Linked DNA regions of Ovis aries. The protein of the gene in region 1 interacts with the protein of each later gene in a pairwise test. Links are inferred from orthologs where the notes say so. Each region holds a gene or a part of one and is shown in the gene's direction. Other genes may lie near its edges. The genes, in order: keratin-associated protein 10-12-like, NAXD and NPDC1.

Region 1 (3,742 bases):
AATAAAATGTTGTCTATTTCTATGAGGAATGTTATCCTGTCATAAAAAAGGATCAAGCACACATGTATGCCACATGTATGCCAAGTTGGAGTCAGACACAAAAGGCCACCTATTGTGTGATTCCTTTTACATGAAATGAGCAGAACAGCCAAAGTCATAGAGACAGAAAGCAGAGCGGTGCTTGACAGGGACTGGGGAGGGTCTACCCAATACTACAAGATTTCCTTTTGGGAATGTCCCGGGACTAGATAGTGGTCATAGTTGTACAGTGTTGTGACTGTACTAAATGTCCCTGAATCGAACACTTTAAAATGGTTAATTTTATATTATTTGTTACATGTAATAAAAAAAAAAACGTACCTGTTAAGGATTTCTAACAGGGAGGCCCCTAGAGCTTCCCTGGTGATCCAGTGGTTAACAATCCACTTGCCAATGCAAAGAACATAAATTTAATCCCTGGTCTGGGACTAGCCCACGTGCCACAACTACCAAAGCCCATATGTCCTAAAGCCAGTGCTCCTCAATAAGATAAGCCATTGCCAAGAGCAGCCTGCCCACTGCAACAAAAAGTAAGCCCCGTTTGCCACAACCAGGGAAAGCCTACATGTAGCAACAAAGACCCAGCTCAGCGAAAAGTTAACTAATTTTTAAAGAAGAGTGAGGACCTCAGACTGTGCAGCACTGGGTGTTACCAGTGTTGTAAATCTTGGCTGATCTTGCAGGTGGGATATTTGTGTTTTAATTTAGAGCCTTTTAATTATCAGTGATATCCAGTAGCTTTTCAAATGTTGATTGGAAATTTGAATGGACTGTGTGCTTGTGTTTGATTCTATTGTATCATATCCTGCTTTAGTTGTAAAGGCTTTCAACTTTTACATTGCAAATATTTTCTAGCAGTTCAATATCTTCACTTTATATGCCAAAAATATTTCTTTTGGGTTCTGATTGAAGTTACATCAGGGATGGATTGATCCAGAAAGAGTGGTAATTCAGTCTATAGCTCTGAGTTTCTTGCTTACACCTCTCGGGTCCCAGTGGATATATGTTGTGTGTGTTCTTTGGTCAAGTTTTCTATTTCGCTCGCAACTTATCTTCTTAGTAATGCTCTTAGGTATAGTTTGGGCTGCGGTAAAGCTAGGCATCTTTCCCTATGTATTCTCACACTGTCAAGGCTGGCGTGAAGTGGGAGCGGCTGCAGTGGCTGGGAACTTGTCTCACGCTCAGCCCCTCCCTCCGTGAACGTGACTTAAGAACCCTGGCAGGCATTCAGCAGAAACTTGCGTCTTGCATCCTCCACAAGTTTTCTGGAGCCAAACAAAGAACAGATGGGAAAACAGACTCTTGCAACGTACTCACATGTTTAATGAGTAAAAGCTAATTGTAGAAAACACAGCAGCCCTAATGAGGGTCAGCTCCAAACAGCAACAAGGAAGGGAGAGCGTGGGAGCCTCCGACCAGGGCCACGCGCATACTCAGGGCGGGTATAAAAGCAGACACCCTCAGCACTTCACTCACACACTCACACACACTTACACCTCCTCCAGCCGTACCACCTCCACCATGGCCTTCTCTAACCTGTCTGCTTGCTCCAGCGACCTGAGCTACAGCAGCCGGATCTGCCTGCCTGGATCCTGTGACTCCTGCACCGGCTCCTCCTGGCAGGTGGATGACTGTCCAGAGAGCTGCTGCGAGCCCCCCTGCTGTGCCCCCAGCTGCTGCACCTCGGCCCCCCGCCTGACCCTCCTCTGCGCCCCAGTGAGTTGTGAGTCCAGCCCCTGCTGCCAGCCAGCCTGCAGCAGCTCCTGCCCAGCCTCATGTGGCCAGCAGTCCAGCTGCCAGTCCTCCTGCTGCACCTCCTCCCGCTGCCAGCAGGCCTGCTGTGAACCTGTCTGCTGTGAGCCTGTCTGCTGCAGGCCCGTCTGCTGCAGGCCTGTCTGCTGTACACCTGTCTGCTGCACACCTGTCTGCTGCAGGCCTGTCTGCTGTGAGGCCTCCCCCTTCTCAACCTCCTCATGTTGCCAGCAGTCCAGCTGCCAGCCCTCCTGCTGCACCTCCTCCTGCTGCCAGCAGGCCTGCTGTGAGCCCGTCTGCTGCAGGCCTGTCTGCTGTACACCTGTTTGCTGCAGGCCCGTGTGCTGTGAGACCTCCCCCTGCTCAGCCCCCTCATCCTGCTGCAGACCCTCCTCTTCCGTGTCCCTCCTCTGCCGTCCTGTGTGCCGCCCCGTGTGCGGCCCCACCTGCTGTGTGCCCGCCTCCTCTTGCAAGCCCAGCTTCTGCCGCCCGGCCTCCTCTGTGTCCCTCCTCTGCCGCCCTGCGTGCCGCCTCGCCTGCTGTGTGCCCACCTCCTCCTGCCAGCCAAGCTGCTGCCGCCCAGCCTCCTCTGTGTCCCTGCTCTGCCGGCCTGCATGCTCCCGCCTGGCCTGCGGCATCCCCACCTCAGCCCCGGAGCTCTGCTGCTGACCGGCCAATCACCCGCCCTCCACAAGCTGCTGTCTCTCTCCCAAGCTCCAGGAGCCCCTCTGCTGGCGCCAGGACCTCCCCTCTCCCAAAGTTGGACACGCAGCTGCTGCCCAGAGAGGATTCGAACTTGGCAGGCATCTCAGAAAGCCCTTGACAGGGTGGACTGTGGGGCCCCAGGAGCCTCCTCTGCAGGACAGGCTGCTTGAATCCCATATGACAAACATCAGCTGCTCTAATGAATAAAGCGTTTGTGTCAGGAAATATGGACCCATGTCTGTTTTGGCCTCCTCCCTTGGGCCCCCTCAGCCCCTCCAAATATGGCCTGTAGGTGCTCTGCTGGCAGAAGCCAGGCAGTAAAGACACATTCTCCCATCCGAGTTCAAAGCAGCTGAGAAACAACAGGATCTGAAAGCTGGTGCCATTCACACATTCTATGTCCCTTCCTACCCCAGGCTCACTCTCCCTGCAGTGGACGGCCCTTCAAGGCTGACATGGAGGCGGGTGTGGGTGCAGAAGGCTCAGATCCTGAGTGGGCCCTGGGTTCCTCCCCCTGCCCATGCAGGTTGAGGGTGACTTGGGGAGCAGCAGAAACCCTCCTGGGTCTGGATCGGAGAGTCCAGGGTAAGTGCTGTTGGAGAGACGTGCCAACACTGAGGAGGAGATTCTGGGGGCTCCAAGGGGGTGCAGTGTCAATTTAGACATCACTCATTCTACTCAAGGTTTCAAAGCCTGACCGAGGAGGGACAGAACAAAAGAGACGCCTTGTGAACAAACCCTCAGGACAGTAGGGGAGAAAGAGCCTGCAGTCTTAGTGGACATTAGCAATAGAGGAAGTGGGCACCAGTCAGCACCAGTCAACTACTTATCCCCCACCAGAAACAGACTGATGAGGCCCATAGGAGCAGGAGAACAGTGGTGGCTGGGGCAAGAGGGACCAGGAACTGAAGGCATCTCCCCAGGGGATACTATCCCCACCCCAGCTCAGTTCCATCCAGGAAAGAGGGAATGGAGCAAAACCCTAAGAGGACTGGTAAACAGGTGTCCTGCCTCAACTCGTAAATCTCTTTCCTGAGTTTACTCAAGACAAGTACCATTTTTCTCCTTTGCCTTTAGCTTCTTTTCTTTTCTCACCTATTTGTAAAGTCTCCTCAGATAACCATTTTTGCCTTTTTGCATTTCTTTTGGTTGGGGATGGTCTTAATCACTGTCAAGTGATCAAAGGCAAAGGAGAAAAGGAAAGATATACCCATTTGGATGCAGAGTTCCAAAGAATAAAAGGAGA
Region 2 (3,642 bases), on another chromosome or scaffold:
CCGATGGGTAAAGCGGGTGAAGGGCAGGCATGTGTGGGCTTTGGCAGAATTCAGTGAGAACTTGAATGTCCTCGGGGCCCCTTCCACGACTCGGCGTTCCAGCCTTTGGAGTGGAAGCTGGGGCCAGAGACGCCGCGTCCTCAAGCCTGCGGCCTGTCGCTGAGCAGGGCCCGCGGCCGCCACAGGCGGGGCAGGGCTGCCCAGGACATGCGTCTGTGACGCTGGTGCCGACAGTCGGCCCAGTTACCGCACACGGTGTGGTCGGGGGCGCCCCTCCCGCAGCCTCTCAGCGCGTGTCCTGGAGCCACAGACCCGCTGCCGGCCCCCCAGGGACCGAGCTGCCGAGGGCGGCGACTGATGCCAGGGGGTGCTTGTTTACAGACGGTCCGTGTGGAGGGCCTGTCCTCACCCACCCAGATGGCGAGCACGCAAGCAAACTTTGACGTTATCTGCCTGGAATACCTTAATGTTTTCGTAGAACCGTCTTACAGACACATGGGCTGTGCTCAGTCAAGGAATACTGTATCCAGAAAACTAAAATAAAAGTGATTTTTATAGAGACGTGAAACCATAATCTGTATCAAGAGGGGTTGGGGATGAATTTAAGGTGATGAAAGGCGGGGTTCTCTGTGCTTCAAGTTCTTTGTTATTTTCAGAAATTCATAATAAAACGTTTAGTGTGTTTATCTTTTAAAAAAAAAAGCTACTCTGCAGCGTGAGTTAGAGATTGGGAGTGAGCCAGCATAGACCTGCTGGCATGTCTGTGGCCCCGACCGGGCCCCAGCTAGCAGGTGGGCTTGCCCTCTGCTCGCCCCCTCTCGGCTCCCTTGGGTGCTGCCCAATCATAGATGCTCAGTAGGTCTTTCCTGAGCGATTTCACTGTTGGCGTGATCTGTGCAACAGCCTGTCTGCACCTGGGCAGGACGGGTATGGGGCTCCTTTCTCGGCGGATGAGAATGTCATCCTGAAACTGATTGTGGTGATGGCTGCTTTCTGTACGCTTTCAGTGAATGGACTGAACGGCCTGTAGCAACCTCAGTAAATAAAGCGACCCCCTGCCGCGCGGCCACCTCAGGGAGGGAGGTAGTTTCTCCGGGATTCAGGTCCCTGCTTTTCCTTTCGGCGATTTTAGGAAGGTTTTCACAGGCCATAGCGCCCAGTCACTTAAAGGGCGCGGTTGCCGGGCTGGCGGTGTGTTCACGGAGTTCGCAGGCATCGCCACAGTCGGCTTTAGGACACTCGTGTCGAGCCTCGTTCACTGTTGACGGTCACGGTCACACTTAAAGACTCATGAAATGTGACGTACGAGAGGTGCGTAAAAACAGAAGAGCTGGGCGCTTGAGGCGTCAGGTTTCTGACCCCGAATCCCGAGGGTCCGCAACTGTTGGGAGTTTGGAGATGCTGGCTGGGGGTCGGCCTCCGTGGACTGGCCTGGGAGCCAGCACCAGTGCTGGTCCTGTGGCTCGCGTGTTCAGAGTTCAGGCTGGCCCTGCAGAGGGCTCTTCTCACTGTGTTTCGCACTTGCTTAATGAGTCCCGTGTGTGTGTTGATGGCCTGGTGTGGAGTCCGTCGGAACTGCTGTTTCAGCTTTCCTCAGGCAACGGGCTCAGTGCTTAGCTGCCTGCCTTTCTTGCAGGGCATTCTAGAAGCATCCAAGGCCAGGGGAGTCCCCGTGGTCATCGACGCAGTGAGTGTGGCCCCTGCCCTGCCCCCTCCTCACCGCAGCCCCCTCGGCCGCTCCTGAATGACCCGCGTCCTCGTCCGCAGGACGGGCTCTGGCTTATTGCCCAGCAGCCAGCCCTCATCCAGGGCTACCGGAAGGCGGTCCTCACCCCCAACCACGTGGAGTTCGGCAGACTGTCCGAGGCTGTGGTGAGTCAGCCAGGCACAGGCAGGTGACTGCATGCACTCCAGAGCATCCTCCGGTCAGCGTCCTTGACGGGGTGAAACCTGGGTGGTGGACTCGGGGGTCAGCCTGGCCTCCAGGCACCGCCCCCCCCCGGGCGATTGCTTCGTCCCTGCCCCGCATGCCCTCCTCTGAGAGGTGGGGTGGGACGGGGTCCACGTCATAGGGTTTTTGAGGACGAGATCAAACCGCACCACTGACCGCACAGCATGGGGCTAGGTGCTGCCTGCACGCCGCTGAGAGCCTGAGGGTCGGCCAGCCGGCCCTCGCTCCGCGCGCTTCCTCCACACCTGCCGCTCTGCCTCCGTGGACTCGGCCAGGCTGATCGTAGTTACTGTGGAAGAAAGCCCACATGTAAGGACCGAGCCATTCACACCGAAATTGTTGAAGGGTCAGCTGCGTCTGTCCACCCAGCGTCCTACGTGTTAGCCCATGTGCGTCTGCTCTTTATCCTTCAGAGCTGCGTCACTCGGGCAAACCTGCAGACTCCCTGCCATGGGCCGGGGCCCTGACTCCGCCAGGACCAGGTCGGGGCGGGCACCCTGCGGTGTTTCTGCCCCGAGGGCTGTGTTGCTGTCCGCCTGGAGCACGGATGGCCTGGGCCTCAGGGCCCGGCTCGTCTGGCTGTTGGCAGGTGCCAGGCAGGCCCCCAGACGAGCCGGACCCCGGGCAGACAGGCTCTCCCGTGTCCCATGAGGCCCATGTCTCTGGTCCTGTCTAGCTGGGGGCGCCCCTGGAGGGCGGGGACCGTCACGGAGCGGTGCTGAGACTCAGCCAGGCCCTGGGCAACGTCACCGTGGTGCAGAAGGGGGAGCAGGACGTGATCTCTGACGGCGAGCAGGGTGAGTGGGTGCAGACGCCACCCCGCATCTCAGCCAGTTGGCACAGCCACGCTGGGCACCAGCCCCAGGAGGACCGCTTGTCCGCAACCTCGGGAAGCCTGGCTTTGCCCTGTCGCTCGGTGTTCTGCACAGGGAGGTGGTCTTGGTGGGGCGTGCTGGCCCGGGCTGGCCCCGGCATGGCGGCGGATGCTCCTTCCCTGCTGTGTGCGACGGCCCACGGAGGGCCCCCCACAGCAGACGGACGCGGGCACTGAGTGCCTGCTGCTCGTTCAGTTCACAAGAGCGCCCAGAAAGGAGACGCCAGGGAGCAGCTGGTGGCGCGGGAGTCCCCGGGCACCAAGCACAGCCTTGGGGGCCGCCTGCCCGTGCCCTCAGCGGGGCTCCGGGCTCAGCGCGCGGCACCTCTGCTCCCTGCAGGGCCCTCCCGCTGGTACAGCCCCCCGGTGGCGCCAGGCCCAGCGGGCAGTGGCCAGACAGCTGGACACGCAGGGCTGCTGACCAGGTCATGGGAACCAGGGGCCAGAGAAGCACAGGCCTGGGCACGTGTGTGCACTCGCACGCACTCACGCCACACGCACGCACTCACGCCACGCACACGCACATGCGCACACACGCACTCACACGCCACACGCACACACACGCCACGCACATGCGCACACACGCACTCACATGCCACGCGCACGCACTCACACGCACTCACGCCACACGCACTCACACGCCACGCGCACGCACTCACACGCCACGCACGCACATGCGCACACACGCTGGACAGGAGACCCAGCGAGCGTTCTCCGAGGGACCCTGAGACCTGTGGGTTCTTCAGATGCTAGAAGGTGCTCTGATCCCTGACACAGTCAGAGGCACATCTGTTTCAGACATTTTCAAAGAAAAAGA
Region 3 (3,742 bases), on another chromosome or scaffold:
TCTCCGCCCCCCTCCCCCACTTTCTGGGAAGTGAGCTCTGACACTATTTCTGTCTAATCAGTGCCTCGTAGGGGACGGGGGCGGTCCTTGTTCTGCTCACACACACACACTGCACACACCGTCCCCCCCCCACGCACACCCCACACACACGTCTGCCAGATTCTGAGCATTTCACAAACCTGCGGGCCACCAGCCCCGTCTTCGGAGTTCCGAGACTCAAAGGGCCGAGAGGCGCACCGAAGGCGGAGGGGGCGGGGGAAAGCCGCCCTGATCTCTCAGGGACGGGAGCCGGGGAGGTTTCCAGGTGGGACGCGGAGGCTGCGCTCCCAGGAGGCAGCAGGTGGGGTTATGGGGTGCACCCCAGTGCGTGCCGTCGTGGGCATCCCGGAGCTGAAAGGCTGTCACCCGGGCACCGTGGACAGCTCCCAGCTGGCTTTCAGCAGCAGTCCCAGGTCACTCTTGCCCCCTGGTGGCCTCACCGGGAGCGGCCGGGCTAGTCCTGCGCGCCTGTGTGTGCCTTTGCCGCGTGTCTGAATGCCCGGTCGGCCTCCGGGCACACCTGCGCGTCCCCGTGCGCCTGCCCTGCTGTGTGCGCCTAATGTACCTCCAGACCCAGGCGGATCCTCCGCTCCAGGAGGGTGGCTGGGGGTGGGTGGGAGTTATCAGCCCCAGAGGGACCGGCTGGGGAAGGGCATCCCAGGGAACCCAGCCCCAACCAGTGCCCCGCCTGGAGAAGGTCCAGGTTGCAGAGGTCGCAGAGGCTGAGGCGCCCCGAGGGCGGGCTGCGGGGTCGAGGGGGGGCTCGGAATCGGCGGGGCGCGCAGCCTGACGGCGGGCCCGCCTCCGCAGGTGGGGCGCGCAGGCGCACTCCGGCTCGGCGCCCTCGCCGCCCCCGCCCGGCTCGTCTGCCGCAGCGTCAGCGCCGCCGCCGCCTGCTCCCCTCGGCGCCCGCCTCCGGCCTCCGCCCCCCGCTCGCCGCCGCGTCCCCTGGCGCCCCGACCCCGCGCCCAGCCCCGGGCCGCGCGGTGCCATGCTGCCCCGGCCGCGGCGCTGAAGGATGGCGACGCCCGTGCCCCCGCCCTCCCCGCGGCACCTGCGGCTCCTGCGGCTGCTGCTGTCCGGCCTCGTCCTCGGCGCGGCCTTGCGCGGTGCGGCCGGCGGCCGCTCCGGTGAGCGACGCGCGGGGCGGCCGGCTGCGGGGCGCCCCGGGCTCGGGGGTCGCCGGGTGGGGCTTGGGCCGCGCGGCGCCGCGCTCACCCTCCCCGCCGCCGCCGCCGCCCCGGTCTGGGCCCGCAGGCCTCGCAGGCCCCGCCGGCCCAGCCCGCGAGCCGCCGCGCCGGCCTCGCCTGGCCCTGCCCGGGTAAACAGTCCCCGGCGGGAAGGGCGCGGCGCCGCACCGCCGAGGGACTCCTCTGGACGGGGCTTCTCCGGGCTCCTTGGCGGCGAACCTGAAGTCCATCCGCTTCTTGTCTTTGTCTGGGTTCGTGAGCCGGTGGGTCGGTGTCGCAGGCGGGCTGTCTCGGAGCGGGCCGCGGCCTGGAGCCGGTCCCACGGGCGTTTCTCTGTGCGCGCGGCTCCGGTGCCTGCTGGCCTTCTTGCTGGTGGCCGTCCTGGAGTTGGAGCCGCAGTGCTGGTCTGTCCCTGCCGCTCCGGCGGTGGACACGCACCTTGCTTTGCTGCCGTGGTGGCGTCTGAAGTTTCCCGGGCGTCTGACAGCTCGTCTCAGGCTTCGGGGCTTGCTCTGGCCTCGCTGAGGGCAGAAGGAGCTCACAGTCTCTGCTTCCTCACTCACCCGCTGCCCTGCGGGGCCCCTCCGTGCTGTCTTCTGTGCCTGGCAGTGGGGGCACCCCCCAGGGCAGATCATGCAGAGAGGGATGAGCCCAGGGTCCTGGGAGACCCTGCCAGCTTCCCAGATGGCACTGAGGCTCCAGACTTCTGCAGGAACCCAGAATCCTCACACCCTCTCAGGTGGCAGGACCAGGGGGCTAGGTACCCAGGCCCCATTTTTCCTAGCAGCTCCGCAGGAGAGGTGCTGCCTTTAGCCCACTTCACAGATGAGAAAACTGAGGCACAGCAGTGCCGTGACCAGTATGCAATGAGGCTGGGACGCTAACCTGTGAGGTGTGGTCTGCATGTAGCCTCAAGAGGCCAGAGCAGGGCAGGCTTCTTCCTGGGCACAGCACCCCTGGTCAGGGGCCTGGCCTGACCAGAGGAGGCTCCCAAGGAGGCCTGAGGGTCAGGGCATGGCTGGCCCGGGATGGTGGAGGCTGCCTGCTGGCGGCCTGGCTCCAGGGCGTACAGCGTGGGGCCCCCGAAGAGACCGGGAGGCCAGGTGCCGCCCCAGCGGCTCGTCAGCTCTGTGCTCGCCCAGATGCGGGGCAGCGTGCCAGCCGCTGTCCAGGTGTCGTTGTCCTGGGGCCTCGTTTGTGCTCTGATTAGAGCGGGGACCTTGCTAGGGTCAGTGCGGAGCACCCGCGTCTTCCCGGGGCGGGGGGCAGGGAGCGAAGGGAGACCCCTGGAGCCCAGAACCGAGAGCTGGCTCTGGACCGCAGGCCCCTTGCCCTGGTCAGTGTACCCCAAGTTCTCAGCACCAGGGGCTGGGACTGCCTGGCTCCCCGGGGGGGCCAGCTGTGGGTGGGGTCTAGACAGACCTGCTGGCCCAGGCTTAATGTTTAACCAGCCCCAGCCCTGGGTCCACCGCGCTGACACTGGTGCCTGCCGACCCAACTTGTGCAGGAGGTGGGATCCCTGGGAGGGGAGCCCCAGCCCACTTGTCCACCTGCTGTAGAAGCTGCTGGAACTTCCTCCAAGGGATACCTACAGCCAACGGGCTGTGAGTATCATTACCAGGGAAACCAAGTCAGGCCAGCTGAAGTCTGGAGGACAGCCTGGGATGTCACCCTCCTGCGGGGACGGGGCTGGGCCAAGGGGACCAGTCCTGGTCGTCCAAGATACCCCGAGCCCCACCTCCCCAGGCATGATTGACGGTCCTGTTGGGTCTCTCTGTGGCTCCCCAGGCTCTGCTGCTGAGTGGCTGGGGCCAGTGTCCCAGGCCTTGAGACTCCGCAGCGTGGCGGTGCCTCGCCTTCTGCATCCAGAGAGGAGACTGAGGCTGAGAGGGCCACCGCCCTCCAGTGCCCAGCATCAGGGTGGGAGCCATGGCTGTGTGCGCAGGACGCTGAGGTCTGGGCCCCCAATTAGAAGTGGCCTCCCTGCTGCAGTCCCAGGCCCCTGTCCCTGGCAGCGGCAGCTACAAGAGTGCCCCGCCTGGTTTCTGTTTGCGAGGCCAGTGAGCCCGGCAGCCCCATCCCAGGTTTCCCCACCCCAGCAGCCCCTCTCTGTGACAGGACGGGCTGGAAGGTAGATGTGGGGGGGAGCGACTGGATCTGGGCCGTCTCCCAGCCGGGCTTTCTAGGGCTGTAGGATGTCGTGATGGGCTTTGAGTGGCGGCTTTGAGTGGCAGCCCTGAGGGAATGGGACAGACCAGGGCCCCACCCTCTGGGGCTCCCAGGCTGGGTGAGAGGCTTGCTCTGGGTCAGCTTGAGGCCAGAAGCAGGGCTTGGAGGGCTACCCGATCCTGCCTAGGAGAGCTCTGCACTCTCAGGACAAGGGACAGTTTCCGTGCAGAAAGCTGGCCTGGGCCTGGGCACTGGACTCTGGGGAATGGGTGGGGCGAGGGAGTTCCCATAAGTGTCAGGCCTGTTTATCTTCCTGGTTCTGATCCCTGACGCAGGGGAGGCAG

What was found.
Region 2: the proteins of keratin-associated protein 10-12-like (region 1) and NAXD interact in binary tests that used the Homo sapiens proteins (3 or more experiments, as listed by UniProt). The two-hybrid records come from large-scale screens. The link is inferred for Ovis aries from reciprocal best matches to the Homo sapiens genes KRTAP10-7 and NAXD.
Region 3: the proteins of keratin-associated protein 10-12-like (region 1) and NPDC1 interact in binary tests that used the Homo sapiens proteins (3 or more experiments, as listed by UniProt). The two-hybrid records come from large-scale screens. The link is inferred for Ovis aries from reciprocal best matches to the Homo sapiens genes KRTAP10-7 and NPDC1.

What each region holds. Positions count from the first base shown.
Region 1 is NC_056054.1:262,544,382-262,548,123, forward strand, and holds keratin-associated protein 10-12-like, read left to right. Parts: upstream 1-1,410; 5' UTR 1,411-1,560; coding exon 1,561-2,460; 3' UTR 2,461-3,466; downstream 3,467-3,742. UniProt on the Homo sapiens protein: In the hair cortex, hair keratin intermediate filaments are embedded in an interfilamentous matrix, consisting of hair keratin-associated proteins (KRTAP), which are essential for the formation of a rigid and resistant hair shaft through their extensive disulfide bond cross-linking with abundant cysteine residues of hair keratins.
Region 2 is NC_056063.1:84,597,134-84,600,775, forward strand, and holds part of NAXD (ATP-dependent (S)-NAD(P)H-hydrate dehydratase), read left to right. Parts: intron 1-1,636; coding exon 1,637-1,687; intron 1,688-1,767; coding exon 1,768-1,872; intron 1,873-2,627; coding exon 2,628-2,748; intron 2,749-3,642. UniProt on the Homo sapiens protein: Catalyzes the dehydration of the S-form of NAD(P)HX at the expense of ATP, which is converted to ADP.
Region 3 is NC_056056.1:874,927-878,668, forward strand, and holds the start of NPDC1 (neural proliferation differentiation and control protein 1), read left to right. Parts: upstream 1-879; 5' UTR 880-1,057; coding exon 1,058-1,169; intron 1,170-3,742. UniProt on the Homo sapiens protein: Suppresses oncogenic transformation in neural and non-neural cells and down-regulates neural cell proliferation. Might be involved in transcriptional regulation.